Linked DNA regions of Nothobranchius furzeri. The protein of the gene in region 3 purifies or fractionates together with the protein of the main gene of each other region. This does not show direct contact. Links are inferred from orthologs where the notes say so. Each region holds a gene or a part of one and is shown on either strand. Other genes may lie near its edges. The genes, in order: tut1, larp7, sart3, lsm4 and lsm8.

Region 1 (5,175 bases), on a different chromosome or scaffold from region 3:
GCAGCCTGAAACCATCTCCTGCCACCTGCAGCTCATCCTGAAGCTTCTCAGGCAGCGAAGTGGCCTTGAAGGGGATGCTGATGGCCAGCTGCTCTGGTTTTGTCTGCTGCACCTCCATGTGTGGGGTCAACAAGCGCACAAGTCCCCAGGACTTCCCTTTAGTGGACTTGTGCTGGTACTGTAGGCTGCGGCAGTACTTGTCAGCCTCCTGGCACTCCTTCAGGAAGCTGCGGTGAGAGCGTTCGTTCAGGTTTCCCGCCACGTTGTGGGAAAGCTCGAAGGGATCCAGGAGATTCAGGGGGCCCAGTTTGGGACCAGGCAGATGGGACTTGGTGGGTTGTTCTTCTTGCATCGTCTCATCCTGTTTATTCTGGCTGAGGAATTTTGTGATCGGAAGAGCACGTCCCTCCCTCAAAGAGATGACGCTACCGGCAAAATCAAACTGGGCGTAGAAGGAGAAGAAGCCAGCGAGCAGCGAACCTGAAGAGAGAAAACATGGAGGTTTAGTGATGCTTGGAAATGTCAGCAGGAAGCATGTTTCTGTTTTTAAATGACTTACAGAGGTCTTGTGTGTTTTTACAGGGCGGCACAGCGATCGGCTGACTTGGGAAGGTGCAGTTCCAGCCTTCAATCACACACTCCTCCTCCTCACCTGCAGAGGATCATAAAAAAACACACAGTTAAAGTTACTTTCCCGGCTCTAAGGACAACAGAAAGCCATTGAAGAGAAACTGGTTTGTTAAAACATGAAAACTAAGCAGTAAAACCTCTAAATCAGTCCTAAACTGACAGAAGGCCAGTGGAGAGAAGCTACGGCTGGTGGCATGTGCTCCTGTCGTTGACCGACGGGTAAAGGATGAGCTGCAGCATCCTGGATCGTGTGTGAACGATGTAGACATACAGAGCATCATAAAAACATCAAGAGATATGGCCTCGCCCCAGTGATAACTCTCATCACACTCATCACTAGCACAGATTAGAGACTGGGCATGCCAAAGAACACAGAATAAACAAGAATAATCCAGTTTTTAACAAACAAGTCCAGATAGTTACCTGTGCTGCTGTGTTTAACTCGGGTTAAACCGTCTGGGTGTCGAGACAAAATTCAGTCTAAAATCTATTCAGGACATAAATGTATGATTACTACTCCATCGCTACATAGGGAGAATAAAACAGCTGGAGGCGAACGGTAGCTGCAGGTGGTCACATCGACCTGATTAATCACGTCACAGAAGAGAAAACTCCATGTGGAAAATTAAACAGACATAACCAAAATAAATTATACAACATTTTAGTTTTCTGTACATTTTTTCATCTTAATCTGAGGAAAAATCTTAGTTCTAAAGATGATTTAGTCGCGCGCCCCCCCCCCCCCCCCCCCAAATAAAAACATTTTTTTTCCCTTGATAGCTCAAATAAGACTAACTCAAACCCTAAAGTATAATTTCAGCATGAATAATTTTAAACACACCCGTGCAGTTTCCACCTCACGTGTCTGCACGTGCAAACAACACCTGCTGATGTAGGAGCGGACAGGTGGGACTTACAGGACATATCTCTGAGCTGGTCCACGGTGGGGAGGACAGGAGGATCACAGTTCTGCAGGTAGAAAAAGACCAGCAGTGTCAGGGCGTAGTTGTTGAGGAGAGGACCCGAGCCACTGGGATTACCTGCAGGATGATAAACCAGGAAATGTCTGTGCTATGTCATGTTATAATGAGGCTGCTGTGTGTGACCGGACAGAGAGCCAGTCCATCGCAGGGCAACACAGACACACAGGACAAACAATCATGCACACACACACACTCACACCTAAGGACAATTTAGACAGACCAATTAACCTAACAGTCATGTTTTTGGACTGTGGGAGGAAGCCGGAGTACCCAGAGAGAACCCACGCATGCACAGGGAGAACCTGCAAACTCCATGCAGAAAGATCCCAGGCTGGGAAGTGAACCCAGGACCTTCTCGCTGCAAGGCAACAGCTCTAACCACTGCGCCACTGCGCAGCCTCAAAATACTAACGTTCAGTACTAAATTAGTTCACGAAGAAACCAGGTGGCACTGTCATTAAAGCAGGAGAGCTGCTACAGAAGCCTGGAGGTCCAAAAACACACAAGAATGTGTTTTTTCTCAGGAACGGCGATGCTTGCACACAGACCCGTATGGAAGCATATCGCTGGGCAATGCACAACAGAGGGAATGCGTTTTCATCCTGGCTGCAGCTGGATGATGGACAGATGCTGGTGCTCTGGTGTGTGTGTGTGGGGGGGTGGGGGGGTGGGAGGGGATGTGTGAACCTGGTGTGAACGAGTCACAAGAAAGATTGAATAATTTGCAAAATAAAACAACAAAGTCACTAGGTTGGCAACACGAAGGAGTCATAATTAAAAATATATCAATGCCAGTTGTGTTTCCTCGTGCTGACTGTTAAAGCTCCACCCCAGCAGGGGTCTAGCTGTCAGACGGGGTGGAGGTGTGTCCTTCACAAGCATGAAGCCAAAGCCAAATATGAGATCCAAATCAGATTATAATAAAACTTAGCTGAAAGTTTTTTTTGTGATTGTCTGGAGCTGAAATCGAAATAGCAAAAACATTTTGATTAACCCAGAGCTCTCATTTAAAATGTGTAACTTTATGAGGAGATTCTGTAAAAGGTGCTGCTGTGTTATACCGATGGAGACTGGCTTTACCTTCTACATAACCAACCGTGATTCCTGAGTTCAACTAGTCTCCCAGAAACTCAAATTCTTTCATATATTGTGTTAAATGTGTTTTGAAGTTAAAAAGTTTGTTTCTAAGACGCAATAATTTGCTTTGATTATTTGTATTTGTGGAAATTGGCCTCAATGATCAAAGCAATCGCTCCAAGTCCACAATTTCATCTTAAAATGACACTTTGAGATGTCATCACACACTCTTTAATGAAAGGTGTGTTTGCAGCACCGAGGGGGGAGTTCAAAGGAAGACACGGACCTGGAATAAAAGGTAATTGCTTTTCACAGCAGAATCCCTTTAATAAGATTTCATTTAATATCAATGCCTGCACACAAAAGGATTCAACAACAACGATCAAATGAGGATCAGACTCAGTGTAGCTCTGCTGACATCTGCTGGTGAAAGCATGAACAGGACTGCATCCTACCAGCTAACTGCTTCTGCTTGGCCCAGTAGCGGATGGTGTAGACCAGGGGCCTCAGCCTCTCCTCCACCCCTGAACACAGCTGGAGGAAACGCGTGTTCCTCACGCCAAGTCTAACAAACAAAACAGGAAAACAATAACTCCTGCATGTTTTCATTTAATTCACATCTCAGAGATGTAAAACCGTCCTCAGAGACCTGTTGTTGAGCGTGATGTCTCCCTGCAGGTTGAGCTCATGGTGATGGAACTTGACCACAGGGAGGCGAGCGGTGCTGACTACGTGGACCTTGTGCACGCTGGGGACGCAGCGCTTGAGGATGGTGGCAACCAAGTCTAAAACTTCAGCTGGAGAGGCTGTGGACAGATCGATGTCAGACAGGATGGAGTCCTCAGAGTGGGCATCGTCTGACACTCCTTCACCCGCCTGACGACCGGGCGCAGGGAGGGAATTTGTTAGAAAAATGTGACGTTTTAGCTCCGAATGTGTGAACTACAAAGATTTGCACCTAGATAAACAGTCAGACCTGCTCTGTGCTGGACTTGGCCCGAGCTTGGAACACCTTCGTGTTTTCTAGGTCCAGGAACAGGTCCAAGTCACACGAGTGGACGCCAAAAGTGTTCACAGATGAACCAAAGGGCAGAATCTGGCTGTCTGTGACCCACGTAATGTTAAAAACAGAAAAACGCTGATTTTTTTTATCATTAAGCCACAGAATCTGAATGTTTACAAGTTTTAAAGCCCTCACCTGGAAAGAATTCAACAAAAACCTCTTGAAGGAGCTGAACCAGCAAGTCTCGAGTCTTCTTTTCATTTTCTCCCAGCTGAAATCGCTCAACTATGAACTTCATCTGGGCATCCACCTGAAGGAGCGAGAAAAACTGTTTTAGTTCAATCATCTCAAAAAGAAAAATAGAAACACTTGATTTACTGAGCTGTACGACACATGAACCATGAGGATTATCATGCTGTATTTTCTTTAAATAATCTGTAATAAATATGTTGCCCAGCTGCACGGTTCATTTCTGATTATGTCAAATCAGTTCTAGTACGGATGCTCACAGATCCCAGCTGACACAAGTCGGGTCTGAGACGATCTAGGACCTGCTGGAGGTTCTGGGGGTTGTTCTTCTTCTTGGGAATTAACTTAAATTCCTTCTTTTCTCGAGGCTTGACCCGCAGCTTCAGCCCCTTCATGCGGTGCTCTACACAGGACAAAGCTGCCTGGATGCTCTCCGTTTCACTGAACTGCACGATGGCAAAAACACCCTGTGAGCACAAACACACACACCATCAGTCACTCTGCCCATGATTATAACACCCGGCCTCTTTCATGAGAAGGCTTCATCTAATAGGAAGTCCGTCCCACCTTGCCTTTGTCCATGATAACATCTGTGACGGCCCCAAACTGCTGGAAGTATTCGGAGATGTCCGTCTGAGAGATTTCAGGCTTGATGCCACTGACAAACACACTGTGCTCCTCCTGGTTCTTCCTGGTGTCTCGTACAGTCGTCAGGGTCTGATGCTTTCGCCCCTTCACATGCTGATCGACACTCGGCACTGGTCGGCAACAACATCAAAGTATTTAGTAAATCAGAGGGATTTCTACCACTTTACATCCTGATTCACTGTGTTTAATCAAGTTTTTGTTTATTCTAAAGAACTATTTCTTGCAGATTAAATTTTAAACACACAAGTTGAGATCTCCGTAAGTAAAAATGTAAAGAACAGTCTGAACGTTTTACCAGCCACCGTTACAGATGTTCAGATTTATCTTACACTAAACAAATGGATCTGTTTCTGGATTTAAAGAGCAAGTCACCCAAAAATAAACCTTTTTTAAATGAGAAACTAAATAAATGTGTGTCTAATCGTGCTGCAGACACATGTAGTCAATAGTTTTGCACTTGTTAAATTTTTAATTTTCTGCCTTAAATTGTCAGTGTTGTGCCGTTGTCAGGTAAAAACTCTGCTCTACACTTGAATTTAAATCTGCCATCGCTCTTGGCTAAGAGGTTTCCTAGAATGTTAGCTG
Region 2 (6,159 bases), on a different chromosome or scaffold from region 3:
GTGCGTGACACAATAGTTTGAGTACATCTGAACTAATCTGAGTAAATTCACCGTTTCCATCTTGGGTTTTGTCTTCGTTAATCTTCCTGATGGTCTTCTTCAGCGATGCCATGCTGCGTTTTTGCAGAACCAAGTACTCCTCTTTCAGCTGCAGCCACTCTTTCCTTCATGACAAAAAGAGGAAGACAGATCCTCAAAGTGACACATTTTTTGGTAATTTATCAGTCTGTGTTTGTTATTAAGGAGCATACTTGGACAGAACGCGGAGCGGGATGACTTCCTCTCCGATTTTCAGCTTCTCTTTGTTCTTCTTTTTTCTCTTCCGCCTTGCTTTCACGGCTGAGTCATCACCGTTGTCTTTCCCTTTCTCAACATTTTCCTCAGTGTCACTTTCAGCGTGTGATTCTGTGGGCGGGGGGGCATCATTACTGCAACAAACCGCGTGGTTTCACAACACTTTCAACACATGCATCATCACTTTGTTCAAGTAGGTGTGTATTCTGACGTAACCACCCTCTGTACTCCCAGTGTTCGATCCCAAAGTGAATGAATTAGGCTGGTTAATGGACTTTTAATCATTCAGGTTATTAGAAAGGATGTGGTCAAAAGGTAAACACATGAACAGAGATCAATCACTGAGCATACATGAAAATTTGAGAACATTCCTAGACCGATGCAGACTGTTGTTTTCGCTAGAGGCCGACCGATATATGCCATTTTTTCTATTTCGGCCATTTGCTGGCATTATTTTTTTAAAACGATAACATTTTTTTTAAATCTGCCGCTTTTTTATTGTTTACACCAGTGTTGGGCAAGTTACTTCAAAACTGTAATGCATTATTTATAACTTGTTACCCTCATTTTAAAGAAATTCATTAAATTACAATATTACTGATTTAAAAATGTAAGGCATTACACTACTTTTGCATTACTTTAAGTTACTTTCACCAAAACAACTTCAATATGAATCTGGTAATGTGACGCCCAGTGAGCTCATGACATATATGTGGAAGGTGATGTGGTGTCTGAGCTAGGATTGCTGTTAAAAACAGCCACATATAATAACAGTGCTTTAAAATGATTGTTTATTAAATAAAAGCAACAATAATATGTACTCTCAACACGCTGCCGTCTTATATTAACTGAGCAGGGAGTGGGGTGGTGGGGGCTCCAAGCCTATATTGCCTTGGTCCCCAAATGCCTTGATACGGCCCTGGATGTGGGCCTGACTTCTGGGGTGATCTGATTCTATCACATGTATAAATATTAAATGCTTATATATTATTGCTTTTCACTGGTAAAATGTCTATTGGGGATAAATCTACCTACTTTTTTCTTTTCAAGCACTTTGTTTTGTTTTCTTGATTTTATTTGAATAATTTCCTGCCCTTTCTCTCTCTAACCTTCCTGCACGCTGCATGTTTTCTCCGTCTTCCAGAAAAACTGTTTCCTAGACTTCCTACTTTCTAACTAATCAGCCAAAGGGATCTACACATGCGCGGCGCTCCAGCAGTAATGAGTTGAAATCACCGGGGCACAGATTATGAACTCAGCTGAGGCAAAGCACGTCAGAAAAGCACAAAATACCAGAGAACATGCGCTGATATGAACGATCGCAAGTGAATTATTTTGTTTTAGTGGAGCGATTTTGTGAATGTTACAGCGGCCGCGTGCAGGACGCAGCTGGAGTATTTGAGCCGTTGCCGCTGCGTCCTCTCTGCCCGCAAAGCTGAGTCCATAAATGACGTCATATATGCAGATACTGGATCTTTCTTCGGGTTTCCCGCAATTTGAATTTTTAAGGAACACATCTTGATTCTGGGTTTAAAAATGCATTGTAATTACCGCGTTACTGACAGTTGTACCGAGTAAATATTACCATTTTCTTTCCCTGTAATGCCTTACATTACCACATTACTGCTAAAAGCAATGCATTACAGTAATTAATTACTTTTGTACCGCATTACTCCCAACACTGGTTTACACTTAAGGGAATATTCCACCCCTATGTAGCATTTTGTCTGTTAGATTTCCCAGTTAGGTTAGAGAGAAAAAGGATTTGGTAGCTAACAAGCTCAGTCATTCTGCTGATCTGGAAGCAGTAAGTTATGCTTAGCATAAAACAATGTGAGTAAAAGGAAGGTTCTAGCATAGAACAATTAGCCGCCGACGCGAAAAGAAAGTTTGATTACGTTTAAGGTTTTTTTTTTTTTACGTGCTAAGCTTCCAGAACACATCAAACTCAGCAGTTCAGGTCAGTCTAAACAGGAAGTTAAACACAAAAACATTGTAAAATGTCCACAGATTTTCTAAAGAAAAGTCAGGTGCACATTTCCAGTAGCTTAACTAGTAAAAAAAAAGTATGTCATGTCCTGTGAAACCTCCGTAGCCGAGTTTAACAGAGAAGGAAATAAACCGCAGACCTTTCTGGATGCATGCAGCGGACTTTCTCCTTGCTAGTTACTGCATGAACTTCTGAAATCACGAGTGGTGTTGCAATTCTACCGCTATTTTGTGACATCCCAAGACTAGTGGGGTGGAACACTTTCACTCCCATTTTGCATCCGAAACACTCACTGTTGGAATGATGCTCACAGGTAAATCGCCACTATTACGTTACACGCCGCACACGCATCTGTTGGAAAGGACGGAGTTGCACTAGCCATTAAAGGCCAGTTGGAAATGTGCAGTTAGATCACACAGCACAAAGCCGCTGACGTAGCAACTTTTGAGGGAGCGGGAACTTGGCGTGCCGACTGTCTCACATACACTACATCATAACTTGAGAATAATAATTGTAAACACAATGTGTGGCCAGCTACTGCTGTGCATTCATGAAAGAGAGGTGCTGCTTCCAGTCGTAATCATGGATACAGGGAAAGGGGCTCAAAGGTGCAAAACTTATTTACGACCTCCAGATGGTGTCGTCTGAGTAAAAACTCCAGATTTTTGCTTTTGGTGGGCTTTGATCCTTGATCCTGATCAAACCAGATTAGTGACTCACCAATCTTCGCTCCATCTTTGTCCTTCTGTCCAGACTCACTTTCACTTATTCTTCTAATCTTCGACGGTATGTCACCTTCTGTAGCCTCTGCCGCTTGTGAGCGGCGGCGTTTTTTCTCTGATGCTTTAGGCGGCGTTTTGTGCGTGCTGGCCACCTCTGGATCACAACCGGCAGCTGGGTCTTTCCTCTTCTCCTCAGATGGTTCAGCTTCCATCTCTTGGATTTTCTCTGCTGGGGCTCGCTCTGCTGTAACGTCCTTCTTTTTCTTCTTCTTTTTCTTCTTCTTCTCTTCTTCACCTACAGTGCAATAAAAACAAGGTGTCGCACCAACAGCGTTTAACAACCTAGTTAAGCGTTTTCCATTTGTAAACCTACGCGGTGGTGGATTGTCAGCTGGAAAAGGAATCGGCTTCCTGCAGAGGGTTTTGGGGAAAGTCCCTGGTTTCCTTGGAGCATCTTCTGGTGGATTGTTCAGCATCTAAGACAGAAAAGTCCTGTGAGGCTGAGTTTCTCACAAACAAACTACAGAGTCTAAATCGATTACAACATCCAAGTTACCTCAATGGCTTTCTGTGCTTGTTCCTCCTTTTCAAACTCCACAAATGCAAACCCTTTAGAGTCACCGGTGCTCTTGTAGCGCGGGATGCTAACGTACACAACCACCCCACACCTTGAAAACACTCGTTCTATCCAGCTGTGATTCACATCTTTAGGCAGAAGTTCCTTAAAAAATAATAAAAAATAATACATCTTTAACAGTAATGCCCTTTAAAACCACGAGACTGTCTAAATATGAATCTAACTGCGCCATTTCTCACCATGTGACATGTGTTACTGTGTTGAAAACTGTATGAAACAGTGAAAGCTTTACCGGACTTTTCCAGCAGACGCACAAGCAGCTCATAATAATAATAATAATAATAATAATAATACATTTTATTTGACAGCGCCTTTCAAGACACCCAAGGACACTTTACAACGATGGGGAAAAATAATAAAACAAGATAAACACAGTACAGAAATATGTAGAAACGCTAGGATGCTAAAATTTGAAACAATGTATTAAAACTATGTGGTAAAAGCCTGTTTGAAGAGGTGGGTTTTAAGTTTTGATTTTAAAAATGCGAGAGTGAATGGTGCGTAGATCGGGGGAAGAGGATTCCAGAGGTGGGGAGCAGAGCGGCTGAATGCTCTACTCCCCATGGTGACAAGGTGAGCGGAGGGAGCCGAGAGTTGAGGAGCAGCAGAGGAACGGAGTGCGCGGACAGGAGTGGTGATGTGAACGAGATCAGAAATGTAGGGCGGAGCCAGGTTACGGAGAGCTTTGAATGTGATGAGCACAGTTTTGAAACTGATTCTCTGTTTAATGGGCAGCCAATGAAGTTGTTGCAGGATGGGGGCGATGTGGTGAGATCATGGAGTCCTAGATGACGTGCTGCAGCATTCTGGAGAAGCTGCAGTTTATGGAGGGACTTGCTTGAGAGACCAAAGAGAAGTGAGTTGCAACAATCAACTTTCATAGTGAAATAGATGCGTTTTCCCTGTGAGCTCAGCAAAGCATCCCTTCCCACCAAGAGCGTTTCAGATGTGAAATGGCAGCGAAAGCCTTCCACAAAGCTGGTACCGCATTGTCATCGGAGAACTGCAAAATTACACCTGATTCTAGCAGTATATGAGCATCAAGCAGGAAGACGGCCCCGTGTTCCAACAGGTCAAGGGTTTACGTTCTTTAATGTGGTTTTTATTGCATCTTATTTCTAATTTTTAAAATGAGCCTAAAATTGCCAGTGTAGTGCCCTCTTAAGGTTAAAAGTCAGAACTACATTTGAATTTCAGTCATAGCTAATTGCTAAGCTGGTATTATCTAGGCTAGCCAGTATTTCTAGCATGGCCGCATTACACCGCAGATGAGTCTCGGCCTCTCACAAGAAGATACGAAACGATACGGCTCGGAGCCTTTCACCTCCTCCATTAATCCTTCTGTTTTCCTCTCCTTCCTCTGGTGAAGAAATGCTTCATACTAGGAAGCCTGCTGCTGTTTCACTATCCGAGCAACGTGTGTGTGATGTCATTGTCGGTCACTGGTGCAGTGCAGTAAGACTCCAGTCAGGGTAACTTGTACTTTAAGCAACTGGAAATTTTCACACCACTTTTATTGTGAAAGTTTCAAGATGTTTTACACTGCTTTTGTATGACTTCCTGTTTGCCCTGATGTGAACTGCTGAGCTTGATGCGTTCTGGAAGCGTAGAGAGTAAAAAGTAAGACTTGAAACAAAAATTTTGTAGAACAATGTAACACTACTCTTCAGGGACGCATTTAAAAGGCTGCATGGAAATACTCATCCACTGTAACAGCGGCTCATTGAAGGATCCCCAGGGTTCGGTCCTGGGACCAATCCTTTTTCCTTCTATATTTGCTCCTTCTCAGGCAAATTCTAATGTCACTTTTAGACCGCGACATGCAGTACTGGCGTGCTTTTAGCACCTCCTAGTGTCCACTAATAAAACAAAAAAATGAAACATTTCTCCTTGCTGTGCGTTGGTCCTTTTAACCCCTTAATCCAACAGCTGAAATGTCTCCCCAGGCTTCATTAGTGTCCACAGGGGCGATTCATTTTTGGCATCTAAAACATGCAGGAAACCTGCTGGAAGCAGACTCCAGTGAGTTTGTCAGCTCCGCTCTACTAAGTGCAACAGGAGGCGGCCCACCACTCTGAAGTTGCAGTGCAGTATTCTGGCCAAAGTGGGCGGTAGGGCTGAGTGACATTTCATTAACCCTGTAATGGGTCATTTTAGCGCATACTGGCTCAAGAAAATGATTTAAAAATATAAAAATGTTGCAAAGTATATAAAATTGATGGACGTTCAGATTATTTCATCATGTAAGACCTATAGTTAGCCGGCTCATTTAAAACATTGTACGTTTTTTGACCCTGTCTATTGAAAGAATCTAAATCACTCGAAACCAGAATTGAAACAAGTAATTGGAATCGAATGTGTTCCTATTCAAACATGTCCAACTCTACTAACTGCTGTTAGTTATGCTTTGCAGACGTTATTTGCTGCAGTGGATGTTGTTAGTTTTTTATTTATTAGTTTCAGTCTACAGTGGGGCAAAAAAGTATTTAGTCAGCCACCGATTGTGCAAGTTCTCC
Region 3 (4,888 bases):
ATCTTTAGGTGTGGATGAAACAAATTTCAACAAATATTTTTTGTAAAATTTTATAATTTACAAATAGTTTATTACATGTCCACCTCAGTGGACAGCGTGCATTCAGAGCATGAAATATGTTGGCTTGGCTTACTAAAGTCCAAACGGAGGGGCTCACATGCAAAAAAGTCTTCAACAGCTGTGCTTAACAGCAAAAACAAATAAATAACAATTTTGAGTACCTGTCCACTGTAGTGACCATTATGCATCAAAGGGTTAAACAGATGAGGTCTGAGGTGGGATTTTCAAAGGAAGACCAGAAAGAAGGAATGACTTCACGTACGCTCCGTAGACCTGACGGGACATCATATCCGCCGCGGGCCGGCTAGAACCGGGCTTGTCCATCATACTCCTACGAGGAGGGTTGCTTATAGCAACAGAGATTTTGCAGCCCTCCACATCCATGCCATCCAGTTTCAGAACTGCCTGAGAGGCCTGCGCTTCATCAGCAAACTCCACGTACGCCAAACCCTGCGGAGCATCCACAACAAACGTCACTCAGCAGCCGGAGGACCACAGGTGCTGATTATCGGGCGTCCTTTAGTCCCTACTGTCCTCCCAAGTCTCACCTTAGGCTTTCCTGAGCGATATGTGACTAGACGGACCTCTCGGACGGAGCCGTGGTTTTTACACATTTCCTCCAGCTGCTCTTTAGTGATGGAGAACGGCAGCCCGGAGATGAAGATCTTGTGTTTTTCCAACGACGTGTTGTACTTAAACACCTGTAAGGAAATTCACATCCAGACATCAGGGTGTGATTCTAACCCAACTTTCAGAACTTGAGGACAATCAGATGGACGTTTATGTGATTTAATCCCCAGTTTGAAGCTTTCATCAAAGCAGGATTAACGGGAAAACAACAGGCTGCAGAATCACCGCCAAGATGAGAGCTGCAAAAAACGCCAGTCAGAGCTCAAACTAGAGGAGACATAAGTGTGAGCTTAATCATGATGGGAAACCTGCAGAGAGACTTCAGCACATCTGTGTGTTTTTACAAGTCTGTCATTTAATTATTCAGCATCTCAAAATAATTATTTTCACGTTAAAACAGCTGTAAAATAATCCTGATCATCCTCAGAAAACAGTCAAATCATCACAAACCCTGGATTAACTCAATCAATGCCACATATCAAGGAAGCAGATTAAGATGTTCCAGATGTGGACCTCCAGGCAGAAGTTATGTGTTACATTTACTCACCTTAAAGTCAGGATTTTTGCTTTTGTCCACACAGGGAGACACGAACATCGGCCTGCCCTCCACTTCCCGTCTGTCCAGCTTCAGCGCTTCGGAGACCGACACCAAGGACTCGAACTGTAAGTAGCAGTAACCTTTGAAGCTCCCTTTGTTGCTGAAGACCGGTCGGATCTGCTTGATCGGACCGCAGGTCTCAAAAAGCGCCTTCAGCTTCGCCTCGGGCTCCTCCATGGTGTACGCCAGGTTGCTGATGAACACGCTGGAGGTATCGTCTCGCAGCTCCGGCTTTTCGTCGTTTTGGTTCCGGGGGGGGAGCCCTGCTTCCTGCTGGGGCTTTTTAGTGCCGCCTCCGGGTTTATATCCAGGGGGAGCGTTTCTCCCTAAGAGTTCGGTCTCCGTCTCCATGAACTCATCTGTAGCGCTGTTGTCGCCGCCTGCTCTCTGCCTTTTAGGAGCTTGAAAGAAAAAAGAATTAATAAAACACATTTTGCTAAAACCAACATTTTATCACTAACTAAATTTTACCAGAATCCTTGTTCCATTCATCCTGATCGTCATCCCGTCCCGCTTTCCTCTTCTCTCCAGCTCGACCCTTTTGCACCTTCTTCTGAGACTTCTTATCTGCCTTGGCCTTCCGCCGCTGCTCAACCCTCTCCTCCTCTTGGCGGACCTGGGTGGCTCCTCTCTCAGCCGCCTGATAAATGGGGGGGTACGGTAACGTTAACCAAACGTAGCCGAACGACGCGCCTGCCCTCTGCAGCAGAGACGTGTGCCTCTACCTTCGCTCGTTGTTCATTAACTCTGTTCAGTCTGGTCTCCGTCTTTTGCACCGCCGTGTCCCAATCCTCCAAAGTTCCTGCATGACGACAGAAACATTTAAGCAACTAACTGCTTACATGAGAGTGCAACTGTTGGGAAATGTAAGTTGGATTTGCTGCAAAGATGCTAAATCATCCACTTGAGTCGTTCCTCCAGTAATAAATCTTAATTATGACGCCTCTATCCTGTCACTAAATACCGTAGTTTCCGGAGTATAAGTCGCACCAGCCATAAAATGTATAATGAATAAGAAAAAAACATATATAAGTCGCATTTTGGGGGGAAATTTTATTATTTTTCTTACAAAATCTGAGACCAAGCATTTCAAATTGCAAGACAAGTACTGGTAACAATAACAGAAAAAACAATCAGGGCGCAGCAGCGTGCCACGGTCTCCAGCAGGTGATGGCGGTGTTTGAAACCCTCCCAGCAGGGCAGGGGAGCTCATTCCTGGTCCGGAGCCAGCCTGCAGCAGCGCGGTATACATAATTTGGTATTTAAGTCGCAGGACCAGCCAGACTATGAAAAAAAGTGCGACTTATAGTTCGGAAAATACGGTACACATGAACAATAAATAATAAAACACTCTCCCTTTGCTTTGTTTTGGGGCAAAGCTCACCTTCTACTCTCTCAAACGTGAGCAGGACTTCACAGGCGTGTTCTGGGTAGTCCGAGGAGCACTGGACAGCTCTGTGAAGAGCCTTCCTGCAGTGAGCAGTGTCCCCGTAGGCCCTGCGGATCATGAACAATAGAAATGAGAGAATATTCACAAAGTCACGAGAGAATCGCCAACTCCCAACAGACAAACCTTTCAAGGTTGTAGTATTCCAACCACATGTTGGCATATTTGGCATTCCCTTTGGTCATGATGCTGTCCCATAGCTCTCTGGCTTTTTGCATGTTCTTGCAGTGGCGGGCCTGGTGGAAAAGTAAGAAGAACATGAGAATTTCTATAATAAATTTAAAAAAAAGCAAACTTTTTTTAGTCTTCACTGAAAAGTACAAACAGATTTATAACATCTAACTAAAGAAAATCAGCGCTCTAGCAGCAGCTGATGCCTCATTCACTCTTTGTCATTCCATTATTTGACACCGGCGTCTGTAAATGGTTGCCACGGTGACTGATCTTACCTCTATCCGTGCCCAAATCTGCATGATGACACAAGAGGGATCTCCACTTTCACCAAACCCTGCAGAGACACAAGATGGCAGCGTGAAAACCAAAACCAGGCCCGAAGAACGTCCAGAGTAGAGGAAGTGAAGCTCGCCTACTTTCTTCTACATCTTGTTTCATGTAGTCCAGAGACCGAGAGAAGGCTGCTCGTAGCTCTTCTAGCTCTTTACTCGACTCTAGAAACAAAATAAATTAAAACAAAAGCCATCAGACTAAAACTTAAAGACAGCAACTGTTTTAGACACAGATCTGCTCTCACCTTTAGAGAAATCCACACGTCTCCTCAGGTAGTCCAGGTAGGCCTGCCAAATTTCTACATAATCTGTGGCTTGAATGAAGCCTGCGTTCAGAGCCTTCTCAAAAACATCTGTGCAGAAGAGATTAACATCAATCTGCTTCACAAACGCTTGACACTAATAAAGCAGCTGACTGGTCGACTTGATGCTGAACCTAGCCGCTACCTGACACAGTGTGATGGTCACTGCCATGCCTCTCCAGGGCCAACAGGTAGCTCTTCCACAGACTCATGGTCCACGGGCAGTTCCTGACCGCTCGCTCGTGAGTGGACAGAACCAAGTCTTTGATCTTCAGCTGACGATCCTGTAAAACCAGTAAGGACCTTTTACACTCTGACTAGCTGTGATTTTTTCATTTATTTACTTCTGAAACCTTAGATGCTGTAATGACACGACTGCGAACAGTAACCAATACTCACGAGATATGTGGTGTATTTAGTCCACATGTCTGGAACCAGGCAGTTCTCAGCCAGAGCTCGCTCGAAGGTAATCTGGATCCGTGGTGGGTCCCCCTCCTTTAGCTCAAACTCAATGTAGGCCTGATATTCTGCCAGTTTAGGAGGTTCTGCTACCAGCTAGAGAAAGATATAGCAGAAATGACATGCGCTGCAAAAACACTTTGTGCAAACCACTTAAAAAAAAGATAAGTGTTCAGTTACCAGAGCTTCTTCATAAGATTTGCACTTCTGCATCTGCTGCAAAGCCTTTTTGTACTGATGGACGACAGTCTCAGGAACCCCGTTTTCAGACCACTCCTCATACTCAGCATAGGTGGTTTCCATTTCTGCAAAAGCAGTAAGCAATTTAAACTTGTTCATCGAAGAAGTCGTGACATCCAGCCAGCCCATCTGTGCAGAAGCCATCTGGACAGAGGAGGTGCCATGCCTACCCATTAGTGGAACGGCCAGCTGGCGGCGAAACAATGTATGGATTCGCTCGAGCTGATTGTTGAGCAGTTCCTGCTCCTCGTGGCTGGGAATCCTGCCAGGGGGAGGCTGAGAGCAAAGACGGGAGAGTAAATTAGGATGAAAAACAGCCAATTTAGTCAAAAATCTAAAGGAATTCTTTCCAGGCATAGATATGAGAGCATGCTTTGAATCAATAAAATAAGACATTTACTTATCTATCTAGACTGCAATAGAATACAGAAACATCATCATTCTACATAAATATTATTAAATTATTTAGAAATACTGAGTACATGGTTGACCAGTGAGCAGCACAAACCTGCAACGTAGACAAAAGTGCATTCTCAAACTCTCTGTAGGCCTCCCACAGCGTCTGCCCCTTGGTCATGTGGAGTCCCACCGCTGTTACCGCTCTCTCAAAGATAGATCTGACCTTGTCTATCCCACCAGGTGACCC
Region 4 (6,744 bases), on a different chromosome or scaffold from region 3:
CAGCTGCATCGTGAAGACAGCTTCAGCTCCAAATGTTTTTTGCTGCACCTGCAAATGAACATTCATCTTTCAAACCGCTTACATTAACAATCTTTGTTGATTCAGTTTGAACAAGTGAACCACCATCTTGTCATGAAATGTCACTGCAAAGAAGACTTCAGGCTTCAAATATGTATCTACAGCTTATTGATGCCTCAGTCCAGTTTAGCTCCAGCTGTGTGACAAAATCGGTCGTTTTGGATCTGACCTTTAGACGCCACAGACTCAGCATTCGTCATTCTATCGGCTCTATAAAAGCAAACATGAAAATGATCAAATTCACCTGTATTTCCTCTGTGTGTGTGGGGGGGTCCTTTGCTTCGGGGGTGGTTGTCAATTGTTGCTGCCTGGGTGGGGCCTATGACCTCCCTCCCGTTTTCACCCTGTGTGGGTACCTCGGGTGCTGCGGTGGGCTTGCTGCTACCAGGTTTGATGGCTCCTCTGGTGGTGTTTTCTTGCCTTTCCATATCTGGTTCATCTGAACTCGACCCATTATCATTTTTAATGGTCGTCTTCCACACGATCACATATCCCACTGCTCCAGGTCTAGATCAGGGCTATTCAATTGTTCTAAAATCTAGTTTTAGTTTGAAATATGGAGGCCAAGGCTCACGGAGAAGAAAGAAGAACCTGGTCTTAAAGGAAAAAGCTGCATTTCTTAAAAATTAAATATAGTGGGAAAAGTTTCATTGAGTAGTTTCAGAAAGTGAATTACAGAATGAAATTATTTTATTAGTAATATTGTATCGACTATAGAGATTAAATATTGGAGACTCATGTCACACCCTAATCAGCTTATCACCCACAAACACCTGTAATGGTTTCCTGAGCCTCAAATCGGCTGTTAATCACATTGATTCAAACCAGGTGTGTTGGTGCTGAAAACATGCCTCTGGCATTGATAAGGTGATTAGGATGTGACGTCATGAGTTTACTATATTTCACTTTTCCACAATATTCTAAATATCTGCTAAACTTCTAGTTTTTATCATCTGTAGCCACAACGGCTCAAAAATACAAAAAATTTAAAGGTCAAATGATCCAATTCTGTGATTAGTCCTTAAATTTAACTTTCTGCTGTATATTTTATTCAGATTAAGTTTGTGTTACTTCCCCTTTGGGCCTTCTGCCCTTTTACTGCTAATGAAAGCTGCTGGCTTTAAGGCCATGTCCAGTTTAAACACACCTGTTGTAAATAAATGACAATCAGAAGATTTAAAGGAAAACTGCAACTGCTCAAACAAACTTTTATTCTCGTAAATAAATTACCATGTCGTTTGTTACAAAAATTAAGCGAAACACAATCAACCCAAGGAAGTATGGACTCCTCCATGTTGGACTAGAGAATAAGAGAACGTTTTATTCTTTTTCAGAAAGCATAATCAGTGCATGCCGTCTTATAAAGGTTTAAACAGAAATATTCAGGAAGTGAGTCCTGTTGGCTGTCGCTCTACTGCTTCACCAGCTGTGGTTATAAAGAAAATCTTTCAGATAACAAAGCTGGAAGTAAACTACAGAAATGAGGAAAAAGCCAGTTAAAATATCTACTAAACTAAATTTGGGCCTCGACTTTTCTACACCAATAAAAAGGATTTAAAAAAATCAAACTAAAGTATTATCTGGCAACAATCGGTTGTTGTAAACATCACAACAGAGAGAAACAGCAGAGTTGATGTCATTGTTACTGAGGCAGACGTCCCTCAACAGGAAGTGTTTAAAACAAACGAAGCATCATTGTGTGTCAGTGCTGGTTTTTCATCCCCTGTGGTTTTCCTGCTTTCTTATCCTGCTGCTGCTGCTGTCCTCGACCAGGCCCAGACATCCCTCTCCCACGACCACCAAACACACCTACAGGAACAGCTGTGTTCAGTCCAACAAATCAATTCTACATGAGTTCAAAACCAACCTGATCAAACGGCATCCTTCACCTCGGCCGGGCCCTCCTCTTCCTTTGCCCTGTTGTTTATTCTGCTGAGAGCCGCCGCGACCTCGTCCTTTCGACACCACCTCCTCCCTCACCATGTCAATGATCTCATCTGGGATACGCAGATATTTGATGGTGCTTCCTCGGATGTAGCACTCAGGCATCCTCCAGAATTTATCTCCATCCTGTAAAAAGATGGTGAGAGTTTCTGTTTAAATTAAATTCCTCAATTAATAACACTTCTATTTTGCATTTATGTTAATTTACCTAAAGTCTAGCACAATAAACCCGACTGAGGGGATAATAGGCAAATGATCATGTTTAGTTGTGATCACCCATCTTTCTTTTGTTTACATGTACAAAAACACCACAAAGCTGCACAATTTAAAAATTATTACAGTCACTGATGGTCCAGTTAGCGCACTGTGTCTGTTCTTACAGTCACTATGAATCAATCATTGTATCTCAGCTGTTGTCTGAAGCTGTTCTGATAGTTTCAGTGCAGGATTCTGCAGACTTCTCAGTTCACATAGGCAGGCTGTCCTTCACAACACAGTTGTGCAAATATACTGTACATACAAATGTCTCATGAGAGACCAAATATGAAAGCACATTAAGCAAATTAAAATATTTTGGTATTTTCCCTTTGTCAAAAGGTCACATTTTATTAAAGGGAGAAGCATGTTTCACCCTGGATGTGCAGATGACTTCTCTCAGGTTGATGTTCATCCAGTTGTCACAGCTGACCAGGTGACCGTTGTAGGTCTCTCCATTCTTCAGCTCCACCAGCTAATAAAGAGCACACTGCTTTATAAGCTAAAAATCATACAATGAGCAAGTTCTAATAACAGATCAGACAAACTAAACTAAAGTCAAGAACAAAAAATTAGCTCTAATCATTAGCTAATTAGAGTGTGACTCTTTGAGGCTAGAATATGAACCTTTTCACAATATTCTAGTTGTCTGATATTTTGAATGTGGGGTTTTGATAAGCTGTAAGGCAAAATCATAACAAATATAACAGATAAAGGCCGAAACATCTGGCTTTGCATGTAATGAGTCCATCTCATACATTAGTTTCACTTTTTAGTTCAATCACTGAAATAAACGACCTTTTGCACCATACTGTATTTTTTTTAAGTTTCACTTGTAATTTACTAAAGCAGGTTATTATTTACATAGAGAACAGATGCTTCTTCACATAACTAATGACACAGCCTAAAGGATACAATATTGTAAAGAATATCAGACTTAAAATCAAGGTTTTGCCTCACCATGGGATGATTCTGAGCGGTCTTTAAGAGTGACAGGGGAAGCTGAAAATAAAACACCAGATTGAAATCTAATTTAACAGAATAGACCTCATTTACAGCATTATTTCTGACGCATAATAAACCGCATGAAACCAAGAATCCAGAGTCTACTGGAGAGCAACCACCCGATCAGAGGCTCTTCACCACCAACATCAACAGTTTTACCTTCAGACAGGAGGCACACACTTTCCCACAGCCACCAGACTTCTGAACAGCTGAGCTCCTGACGCTTAATTTCTACTTGGTACATTAACATTTCAGTCTGATTATTAACCTGTTTACTTTGTACCTTTATCTGATACTGGGATTATAATCCGCCTTTAACTAACTGATACACGTTCCAGCTAATGTGGGACATTACTTGCACAAATGTGTGCAACAACTCTGCATAGTTTCTTTGCAGTTCATATTTTGATTAATTTACTGTATTTTGCATGCTTCTTTAACTTTTTAAAATCTAGTTTTTACACCCAAACGTATACATTTGGCATCCAGTGTGAGGAACAAGGTAATTTTTGCTGTTCTTATGAGAATATAGAGTAATTCACCCCGAACCCATAAAACTACAGAATTAAATCAGGTCATTTAAACACGTTTATAACACAACAACACTTCTGAAGTTGTGGTAGGTCTACTGGCTCCTGAATAAAGCTAAATGTTACGGTTTATTTTAGCTACATGCTTAGCATCTTAAAGCTTTCACTTCGGTATAATTTATTAAAAATGTTAACACGGTTTCCGTCAGCCGAACCAAAGATGACCTATTAAAGAATACATTCTCAACTACCCACAACTAGAGGTTAGATACTCACCATTATGACGGTTTATAGCTTGTTTTACGCGGCGAACCTAAGGCTGTGGCGAATGGTCGAATCCAGCTTTCTTCTTCTTCTGGCGGTCGAATCCAGCCTGGGGAAAGGATTTCCTTTTAGCCTTCTGCGTTTTCTTATTCTACTACAAACGGCGGCTTCACCACAGCACACTGCCCCCTAGCGTCGAAACCTGCACTTTCTCTCCGCGCGTTTTATTTTGTGGCCACACTGAGACCACTGTTTAAACTTAAAAGTGTCTGAATAGATCATTTTCTTAATTATGAGAACAAACAAGAGTCTTCCGAAGGAGTAGTTTGAAACCAGCAGAAAATATAAACAGTGCTAAAGTTTCATTGGTAAGTCACTTTGATCAGAAAAGCTTTTTTACAGTAATTTATAACACATAATTATGAACACACTCCATATTTTAATCAGTTAGAACGTGATGAGAATAAATGAGCTCAATAAGTAAAAAATTTTTTGTTGATACTTCATAATTTATTTATTGGTGAAGATATTATGTGATGCTGTTAATTGTATAGGCCTGACCGCAGTAAAAGGCTGCAGCAGTCTTACTAAAGCCATAGCTTTCATAAAAATTATATCAAATTATTTGTCTTCAAGAGTGAATTTTGCATAAAAAGACAAACATCTTCAAATGGGAGGACATGGCCATTGCAAAGTGGTAAATTTTGAAATTGCCCCATTATACTAAATGTTAAGAGTAATAAACCATTAGAGGTGTCAGTTAAAGATTAAATGCACCATAACGTCTATAACTAACAATGCACATTCTTGGCAGGTTGTCCTGCACAGATCCTTGGTGCTATATTTTGTTAATGTTGTAAAGTTTATAATCTGAGTTATTTGTGCACTTGTAAAGAATGAGTCGTTTCCATCTTACTTATGAACCATAAAATGTGAGATTCCATAGAAATATGAAATATCAATCTGATGGATCTTTGACTACATTTTTTTTTCAAAAAGTATATTTTATTAAATTTTCTGTGTACACCTTTTACACAGTATTATGTTGTATATTGAAAGTACATTCTGTATAAAATCATCAGGGAACAACAGAACAGTAGAACAATATAACAATTTTGGTTGTGCTTCGGCTTTTGGCGATCCTCTCCAACGTAAGAGCATATATAGTACTGAAGGCAATATGCACATAGACATGTTTAACAAAACTGTGAGCAAGAAGTCCCCGAATTACACCTCGCTTTTGCTTCTCCCATTCCAGTCTTAATGCTGGTCAGAAGACCGAGTATTTTCCTATACTCTCCCACTTTATAAGTCCTCAGATTTTTATGTCCATCTTCTTAATATATGTTAGAAAAGGTGTCCATATTTTGTCAAATAAGTGTTGCTTGGCTTTTAAGATATAAGTAATCCATTCCAGCGGCATTACCTGTAACATCTGTTTCATCCAGTTCTTCACATTGGGTCTATGGAGAGATTTCCATGCCATAGCTATATACTTTGTTGCTACTGTAGAGGGTCTGCCCTCATGAGAAATTGCTACTCAGTATTTTCTCCAAAAGACTGTGTCATTTGCTCTGAAAAGCTGGAATATGTTCCAGCGCCAGCATGCCCTCATGAGAAAATTGCTATGCAGCATTTTCTCCAAAAACTGTCATCTGCGCTCTGAAAAAGCAGATAATATTAAACATCAGCGCCAGCTACAACTTCATTTCCCATGATTCCTTGAGCCGGAAGCAATGTGATGACGTCACCGCCGAATACCGGAAACAAGTTCTGCGCATGTGCGGGAGCCACACAGTTTCTCCCGCCGGACCGCCAGAGTCTACAAAAGGGAGACGAAATGAAACTTAACTCGTCTTTTGTTCCAGCTTCAGCTGGTGGTTGAAGACACCCGTTTGCTACGGCTCCGGACAGATTGTGCATGAGGCCAGGCGGCTGAAGTGGACAACGCCGAGACGCGGAAAAGCAGCGGAAAACCATCAAATCAACGGAGAAACCATCTGACCTGCAGCGCGAACACAAAAGGGACGCCTTGGGGGTTCGCTCACGCAAGCTTTTGTTTTTTTCCTATCTAACTTCTTCTTCCGTTTCTCCTATAGTTCAGAACAAGCAATAAAACCGCGCTATTGCTTCAAATTATATCGGTTTTCTCTTCTCCGTACCAAAAACGCCATCGGATCCTTTTAAGAGTAAGCCGTTTTGTTGTTTGTCATTGTTTAATATCTTAAATAGTTTTTATGCTGTGGCCAGACTGACAAACTATCAGATATTCATTTATGATTGATCTTTTGTGTTGTTTCTTTATCTTTTTGAAGTGTTTTGAGTGAATTAAGTTTAAGTTACTGTGATTGAAAGTGCTTCGGAAGTTTAAAGTGCAAGTTGCCCACCCACACACACACACGTACACACACACACACACACACACACACACACACACACACACACTCACACACACACACACACACACACATTCTGGTTTTCCCTGTTTGGGGGGGCACACACACATACTTGTTTTTAGCGTTTGGGGGGGACTCAAGCTAAAACACACACTTATTGGGTCAGATTGTTTTACATTATTATTTCATTGTCTAATTACTTGTTATTCATTTGATAAAATCAGTTGGTTGATACTGATTGATTAACGCTTCAGAAGGAGCTGAAGTGATGA
Region 5 (6,665 bases), on a different chromosome or scaffold from region 3:
GCGTGGGGGCGGAGCTACTGGTGTCACCGGGTCAGCGCGTCAAGAAAGGTGAGAAGTGACGTTAACCATGACTGGGATGTTGATTTCCACCTGATTACCTGCTGGTTTTAGGTGAGTCCTGGTTGCGTCTTCACTACGACCATCCGGTTCCAGATCAGGTGGCTCTTCTGCAGAAAGCTTTGAGGGTTGGAAAGGACAACAAAGCAGCGGAAGGAGAGTCTTCTCTGGTGGCAGAGCTGCTGCTGCCCAATGAGGCGCACACTTTGTGACGTACTACTTTTTTTTTGTTCGTCGGCGCCTAGCGCCCTCTGCTGGATGTTTAGGAAGTAAATCTGACAGGAAACGGAATGAGAATGAACAGTTGATTTTTGTAGAAGAGAATAGACTTTAATAATCCCACAGCGGAGAAGTTCACTCATTAAGGCGGCACATACAGAGAATAAGAAAAAATAATGTAGATAGATACACAAAAGTAGGCCATTACCGAAAGCTAAACGGCATACAGGATGCACATCTGGGTACGGGTCATGTGACAAAGGATAATGCCAGTACCAGTTCAACTGTGGATTTATAGTCTTACTGCAGGGGGATTGAAGAACCAACGGTAGCGTTCTGTTTTACATGTTGGACGTCTCAATCTGCCACTAAAAGCAGAGAATAAAATTCTACCACTTTGTCTTTAAATGATTGTTTTTATTTTTTGCTTTAATTTGGGATTATCACGAATGACTTCCAAAATACAGTCCCTTATTTATTTTCAGTGTTTTTAATGTGAATTTATTTTGTGTATCATTTTTTCCAGTGAAGACTTTAAAAATTAAACGGTGGAACATGGAACGCGAACACCAAAGCCACATCTAGGGTGTGGAGGGTGTTGTTGCAACAATAGGACAAGGTTTCCAGCCGTCGGGACACCAGGTTCGCTGCCGATACGTGAAATGTTTTATTTGTGTGTGGCAAGGTGGATAAACGAGGGCCCAGGCGGAATTCGATCCGCAGACTCCCGGGTGAGAGTTATACGCTCTAACCAGTCAGCCAAAGGGACATCCCCTTGGCCAAGTAGCCAGGGCGCATGATCAATCGGGACATTGTGACAGGACGCTCACACTGTCCTTCTGTTGTAGGCTTCACCTAGGGGGTGGATCCAGGAAGCAAGTTTAGAACATTCTCTCCAGTGGTCATCAAAGGTCAACCTGTAGAAACTGTGGAGACATATAAATATCTCGGGGTGTACCTCGACGATAAGTTAAACTGGAAAAGGAACAGTGATGCTGTTGTTAAAAAGGCCCAGTCCAGATTGTTTTTTCTTAGGAAGCTAAGATCCTTTGATATAAGTAGGAGGCTCTTGAATGTGTTTTATCAGGGGATTATGTCCAGTGTGTTGTTTTATGCTGTGTTGTGTTGGGGCAGGAGCCTCATTGCTGAGGACAAAAACAGGATCAACAAAATGATCAAGAAATCTGGCTCAGTGGTTGGGCAACGCTTGGACTCATTTGACATGATCATCGACAAAAGGATTAAGCGTAAACTTAAGACAGTTATGACTCTGGAGGATCACCCCCTTCACCACATTTTTAAGGATCTCGGGAGCTCTTTCAGTGGGCGAATGTTAACGCCCCGGTGCTCCACTGAACGTTTTAGGAACTCTTTTATTCCAGCTGCAGTGCGTTTTTACAATGACCATTTCGTATGATTGTATATTTGATATTTTCATATTTTATTAGGACCAGTGAATGTTTTATTGTGTGGATGTGCATGTTGTGTTTACTTGTCCAAGGCAATTCAATTTCCCCCTTGGGGATTAATAAAGACAACCTTGAACCTTGAACATCGGGGCTCTCCTGATAAATTCCTGCTTGACAAAGCGCTCCCCTCCTCTCCCGGCTCCACGAACGATTCTCAAGTGGATTCAATCGCCTCTAATCCAAGCGAGCATCGGCAGTCAATGCTAACGATTGTCCATAGGCAGCCCCGATTAATCGATGCTAGACAAATGAGAACAGGACAGATCCTCATTCTTCTTCCAGATGGAGAAATAATTACTCATTCATGACTAAAGATATCAGAACTAAAATAGAGACCATGAGCTGTTTGAACAAAGCCGTAGAGTTGGCGCTATTTAATGTTTCTTTGGCAACGATCTTGTTTTTCCACATATTTTATTAAAGTTTCATTGTTTATGTGTTGTTTTCTTGTTCTGCTCCAGAGTCTGGATGTTTAGAGACCGGAGGACTTCATTATAAACAGCTTAACAAATCAGACTTTATTAAAATGATCTCAGACTGACAAAAACATGAAGTAGAAAACAAATCCAACATGTTATTTATAAAAAATACAAACAGAAACAGAACAATCGAGGTTCTGCAGCTTCACCACTCATCACGCCTCCCAGAACACGACAGCAACAGAACTGAGCTGTACTGTGATGGGTTGCCATGGAGACAGCAGGGTTCAAAGGTCAGTGTACAACAGAGTTGAGCGGCTCAGCTCTGATGTTCCCTAAATCCAGCGTGGAGTCGGTCTCCTCATCAATCTCCCCGATCACGGCGCTGGAGCAGAAACACGAGAAACGGTTAGAAGCTGTCCGAGGAGCAGCCGAGCTCCCCGTGCACCGGGACGTCCTTAGGGGTCATCATTTCTCATTTAGTTTTAGTTTGACCGAGGTGACTCACACGTTGTCTCCTCTAACGATGTAGAGGCCCAGCACCACCTGCTCCACCCCCTGGTTGGAGCTGAACACGCGCTCGTGGCTCTCATCCAGGATCAGGTTGATGGTCTGATCAAAGCCCTTCAAAGTGCCCTGAACACCCAAATGATAAATAAATAAATATAAATAAATAAGTACAGCACCTTTCAGTCAGAGGATTCCAAAGCAACTTAATATTATTATTCATCAACACGCTGGTGGTGTTGAGCTACAATGAATCATACTTAAAACAACCAGGCTAATAAAATACTAATAGTTCAGATTACACTTGAACTTTTATTTCAAAATGATTTTCAGTTATCTGCAGTTTTATGCCCCAAAACAGTAAAAATCTGACCATAAAAGTAAAAACGTGTCTGTCAGCATCTGTAGTGATGGGAACAGGACTAGATTTCTGGATTTACAGTCGAGGGAAAAACTAAATCCCCTGTGACCGACACCGGTTTAAATGAGGCTTCGGTTCAGGTGGAGGGGAAATCCTTGTGCTGGAGCCTCAAACATCTAAACACCAGAACCGTATCATCTTCTCTGCTGTCCAGCTGAGCTGAAAACGTGAACTCACCACGATCATCCTCCCGTCTGAGGTGACGATGGCAACAGTTCCTGGATCAGCTGGAGTCAAGGAAACATCATCTGTGCACAACTCATCAGTAAATTACGTCTAGCTTCTCCGTTTTCACCCGAACAACAACGATGGGTGTGCTTCAGTTAAATAACCCGACATCTTAAATCAGAAACAAACTAAATATATTTTATTCACAACCCGTGAAACCGAACTAACGCAGATCAGAACCGTTAATATCTACGTTTTGACGCCATCTGATCATATAAAATTCTATCAGTGATTTTTTTTTATGCAAACACTGATTTGAAATTGAACTGCTACGTAAAAGTTATTCCAGGTATGTTCATTCAGTTCTAAATAAAAATGAGTAGTTTTTTTGTCGCTTTAGCTTTTACCGTCTCTAAACTCCACCTAAACAACAACAAATTACATAAACATCGAAGCTAGCGCGCTAAGCTAACTAGCACTTCTTAAGCATGCAGTTAGCATGCTAGCAGCAAGATACGGTTGATGTAGCTCTCCAGCGCGGTGGACATGCTTCGTCCCGGACTCGGTCTCTATCTGTCCAGCAGAAAAATCGGTAAATCCCTCCAACGGTTGTCTATTTGCGCCGCTGTGTAAAAAAATAAAACGGAAAGAGCATCAAACCGCACCGCACCAAAACACCGGAGACAAGTCAAGACTAATCATACGCCGAATCATCGCGCAGGAAGGGGCGCGGAGGGTCGAGCGGTGACGTTTTTTTTATTCAAATTCCTCCAAATGTTATCATCAAACATTGATCTGGAAAGTTGTTTAAACGTGTGAGTAGGTGATGTCAGAGCTACAACCCTAAAGACAAAATATTGGGTACAGAAATGAAACACACTATAGCCCTATCAGTGGCGCATTTAGCAATTTGGGGCCCAAGGCGAGCACAGACATGGGGCCCCCTTAAAATAAATTTCGGCAATCTTACTTTTAATTGGATTTACAAAACTCTCCCCTCTTCTGCCATGAGTTATTTTCCCTTTTTATTAGTCCTCCTCTTTATTCATGTCTTTCTCTCCCTTTGAGTGCCTCCAATATTTGCTCTGCTTTCTTCTTCCTGTCAGTGCTCCTGAGCTTTTGCCTTTTTTAAATTTATTTTTCATTTTGGTCTACGTTTTCCTCCCTTTAAACATTTTCTATTGTCTTTCCTTTTCTGCTTCCTGATGCTCGAGCATCCGACAGAGGTGGAAAGTAATGAATTACATTTACTCACGTTACTGTAATTGAGTAGCTTTTTTGTATATTTATACTTTTTAAGTCATTTTTAAAATCTGTACTTTTACTTGAGTAAGTTTTTTAAAAAGAATTGTAATTCGCTACATTTTAAATCATATCCGTTACTGAGTAAAAATAAATTATAGGCTTAATAAATTAAAAATATTACGTGAAGCAGCGTCAGAACGGAAAGAGACACCTGCATGAGGACCGCATCTAAACCGGGGGTGTGTGGGGGTGTACACTTTTGCTCAAAGACATCATCAGTTCAGTCGATCAACTCGCTGTTTATCACCTCTCTCCCTCCTCTCCTGTGGTTGGAACCTGCACCTTCGCGCACCAGTGTGACATCATCAGAATTCTGCTCGGTTCGGTAGCGAGACTCGGTTCCGTGTTTGAAATGTGTTTCCCTACCGCTCCGCACGGCAGCGGCAAAATACTGTTTAGTGCTCATAACAAGCGGATTATCAGCGCTTTGCTCATAAACAGAAGAGCTGCAGGCCTCTGTGAGTTAAAACATCATGATACTGTTCAGGTGTAAACATTGTGCTCCATCCCTGTGTTTGAACTCAGAAGTTGCTCCTTGATGCCACAGATATGTGATGATTTAGCTTGTTTCTTTATTTTACTCCAGAATTAGAGATTAAATTATTACTAAAGCAATTCAATGTAGTTAAATTAGTCATGGCGTGCGTGTGTGTGTGTGTGTGTGTGTGTTACACATATAGGACTGCATGAGACAGCGTGGTTTCATCAAATCCATGCATCTCATATCTTGGGTGAAGTAACGGCTCAGGAAAATAACATATATTTCATAAATAATGACGTCTCTGCAGTGTTTATGATAATGTTTTATCTTATCTTTGGTCTGGGAGGTGTAACTTATCATGATACAAGCCTTTTAAAACATGTTAAAGTGTTACAAGAGGAGATAAATGCATGAATTTAAAGTTCATGTTTGGAGGCTCACGCTGGTGAGGAGACACCGTTAGTTCTAGTAACACCTGGGCTCCCAAGGCCTGTTCTGACAGGATGGATGTTACGGGACCCTTAAGGATTCCAGTTGGATGATTGGAGGATTATTTAGGAGGATTGAAATGAACAAACTGATTTCAGTGGTGAAGGGTTAAATGAGTGAGTGAACCCACTGCCAAGGATGAACTCTGCTAGCTTTAAAAATCAGCTGCTCTAAATAAGCATGAAGGTCAGAGAGGATCTCTAGGATGGACATGGATAAAGGAACTGTAATGTAGAGGTAAAGTAGGGCAGGGCCAACGTTAGCAGCTGTCATACGGTCCATCTGACATGTTTGACTGCATTAGGCTTGCTATGTGACAGGTTAGAGCACAGTCTCATGTTAGAGTTTTGTCATGAGGACATTGAGATACCTCACATGCTGATGGCATCTAAAAAAATTATTTTTTCTCAAAATAAAGAATAATTTGAATCACAATTGAAACTTACCATCCTAGAAAAACCTCGTCCAATCAATGTGCACGTCCTGTTCTCACTGATTGGATAGAAATCCTTCCTTCAAGCCGTGCGTGTTTGAGTGTGTGTGTGCGCACACACAAGCGAATTGTGAACTGCCGTTGCGATTTAGCACTACTTAGATGTAGCCATCCTTACGCTGACAAAAATGTAACTAAGTAACTTTTACTTTGAGTACATTTTGTTTACGATACCTTTTACTTTTACTTGAGTAAAAATTTAGGCAAGTACTTTTACTTGTAATTGAGTAAAAAATTATCAAAGTATTGGTACTCGTAATTAAGTAGGAAATTTTAGTACTCTTTCCACCTCTGGCATCTGACCCACGTGACCACAGAGCTAGCTCCGTGGAAAGGCCTCAGTAGAGCCTCGGTCTGGCCTGGAAACTGCTCCGGGATTTTGAGTCTCTGTGTGTGTGTATTCTTTTTGGATATTTTTTGTGTAATTGTTGGACAAAATGACTTGCTGTGGCATTAATTGCACTAATAGAGCGTCCAAGGAGTCTCCACTTCATTATTTTCGGTAAGTAAAATTATATTTATGTATTTTAGGTCACTGCTGAGCTGAGCTTAGATTTTAACATGTACTGTTTAACCATGAAATGTAAATGTAATAGGGTAAAACCCAGTGCATTTAACATAATGCTGCACTTTAGAA

Evidence for each region.
Region 1: the proteins of sart3 (region 3) and tut1 purify together in Homo sapiens (co-immunoprecipitation; 4 studies listed by BioGRID and IntAct, counting the BioPlex papers as one, with this or other methods). This does not show direct contact. The link is inferred for Nothobranchius furzeri from reciprocal best matches to the Homo sapiens genes SART3 and TUT1.
Region 2: the proteins of sart3 (region 3) and larp7 purify together in Homo sapiens (affinity purification with mass spectrometry; 4 studies listed by BioGRID and IntAct, counting the BioPlex papers as one, with this or other methods). This does not show direct contact. The link is inferred for Nothobranchius furzeri from reciprocal best matches to the Homo sapiens genes SART3 and LARP7.
Region 4: the proteins of sart3 (region 3) and lsm4 purify together in Homo sapiens (affinity purification with mass spectrometry; 4 studies listed by BioGRID and IntAct, counting the BioPlex papers as one, with this or other methods). This does not show direct contact. The link is inferred for Nothobranchius furzeri from reciprocal best matches to the Homo sapiens genes SART3 and LSM4.
Region 5: the proteins of sart3 (region 3) and lsm8 purify together in Homo sapiens (affinity purification with mass spectrometry; 4 studies listed by BioGRID and IntAct, counting the BioPlex papers as one, with this or other methods). This does not show direct contact. The link is inferred for Nothobranchius furzeri from reciprocal best matches to the Homo sapiens genes SART3 and LSM8.

The regions. Positions count from the first base shown.
Region 1 is NC_091756.1:31,148,561-31,153,735, forward strand, and holds part of tut1 (speckle targeted PIP5K1A-regulated poly(A) polymerase), read right to left. Parts: intron 4,701-5,175; coding exon 4,510-4,700; intron 4,410-4,509; coding exon 4,203-4,409; intron 4,004-4,202; coding exon 3,889-4,003; intron 3,795-3,888; coding exon 3,667-3,794; intron 3,567-3,666; coding exon 3,340-3,566; intron 3,256-3,339; coding exon 3,146-3,255; intron 1,671-3,145; coding exon 1,548-1,670; intron 653-1,547; coding exon 560-652; intron 481-559; coding exon 1-480. UniProt on the Homo sapiens protein: Poly(A) polymerase that creates the 3'-poly(A) tail of specific pre-mRNAs. Localizes to nuclear speckles together with PIP5K1A and mediates polyadenylation of a select set of mRNAs, such as HMOX1.
Region 2 is NC_091742.1:73,348,038-73,354,196, reverse strand, and holds part of larp7 (la-related protein 7), read right to left. Parts: intron 3,728-6,159; coding exon 3,563-3,727; intron 3,483-3,562; coding exon 3,380-3,482; intron 3,302-3,379; coding exon 3,005-3,301; intron 406-3,004; coding exon 252-405; intron 165-251; coding exon 52-164; intron 1-51. UniProt on the Homo sapiens protein: RNA-binding protein that specifically binds distinct small nuclear RNA (snRNAs) and regulates their processing and function.
Region 3 is NC_091757.1:45,782,402-45,787,289, reverse strand, and holds part of sart3 (squamous cell carcinoma antigen recognized by T-cells 3), read right to left. Parts: coding exon 4,751-4,888; intron 4,519-4,750; coding exon 4,413-4,518; intron 4,308-4,412; coding exon 4,183-4,307; intron 4,099-4,182; coding exon 3,943-4,098; intron 3,828-3,942; coding exon 3,689-3,827; intron 3,595-3,688; coding exon 3,487-3,594; intron 3,404-3,486; coding exon 3,326-3,403; intron 3,244-3,325; coding exon 3,185-3,243; intron 2,972-3,184; coding exon 2,862-2,971; intron 2,786-2,861; coding exon 2,673-2,785; intron 2,091-2,672; coding exon 2,014-2,090; intron 1,929-2,013; coding exon 1,760-1,928; intron 1,690-1,759; coding exon 1,238-1,689; intron 762-1,237; coding exon 609-761; intron 511-608; coding exon 323-510; intron 1-322. UniProt on the Homo sapiens protein: U6 snRNP-binding protein that functions as a recycling factor of the splicing machinery. Promotes the initial reassembly of U4 and U6 snRNPs following their ejection from the spliceosome during its maturation.
Region 4 is NC_091748.1:65,760,780-65,767,523, forward strand, and holds lsm4 (U6 snRNA-associated Sm-like protein LSm4), read right to left. Parts: upstream 4,229-6,744; 5' UTR 4,092-4,228; coding exon 4,089-4,091; intron 3,280-4,088; coding exon 3,238-3,279; intron 2,753-3,237; coding exon 2,654-2,752; intron 2,149-2,653; coding exon 1,968-2,148; intron 1,888-1,967; coding exon 1,781-1,887; 3' UTR 1,270-1,780; downstream 1-1,269. Other genes in the region: probable ATP-dependent RNA helicase DDX49, read left to right, coding at 1-14. UniProt on the Homo sapiens protein: Plays a role in pre-mRNA splicing as component of the U4/U6-U5 tri-snRNP complex that is involved in spliceosome assembly, and as component of the precatalytic spliceosome (spliceosome B complex).
Region 5 is NC_091741.1:34,217,818-34,224,482, forward strand, and holds lsm8 (LSM8 homolog, U6 small nuclear RNA associated), read right to left. Parts: upstream 4,434-6,665; 5' UTR 3,809-4,433; coding exon 3,778-3,808; intron 3,311-3,777; coding exon 3,270-3,310; intron 2,801-3,269; coding exon 2,673-2,800; intron 2,550-2,672; coding exon 2,459-2,549; 3' UTR 2,238-2,458; downstream 1-2,237. Other genes in the region: tymp (thymidine phosphorylase), read left to right, coding at 1-48, 112-269. UniProt on the Homo sapiens protein: Plays a role in pre-mRNA splicing as component of the U4/U6-U5 tri-snRNP complex that is involved in spliceosome assembly, and as component of the precatalytic spliceosome (spliceosome B complex).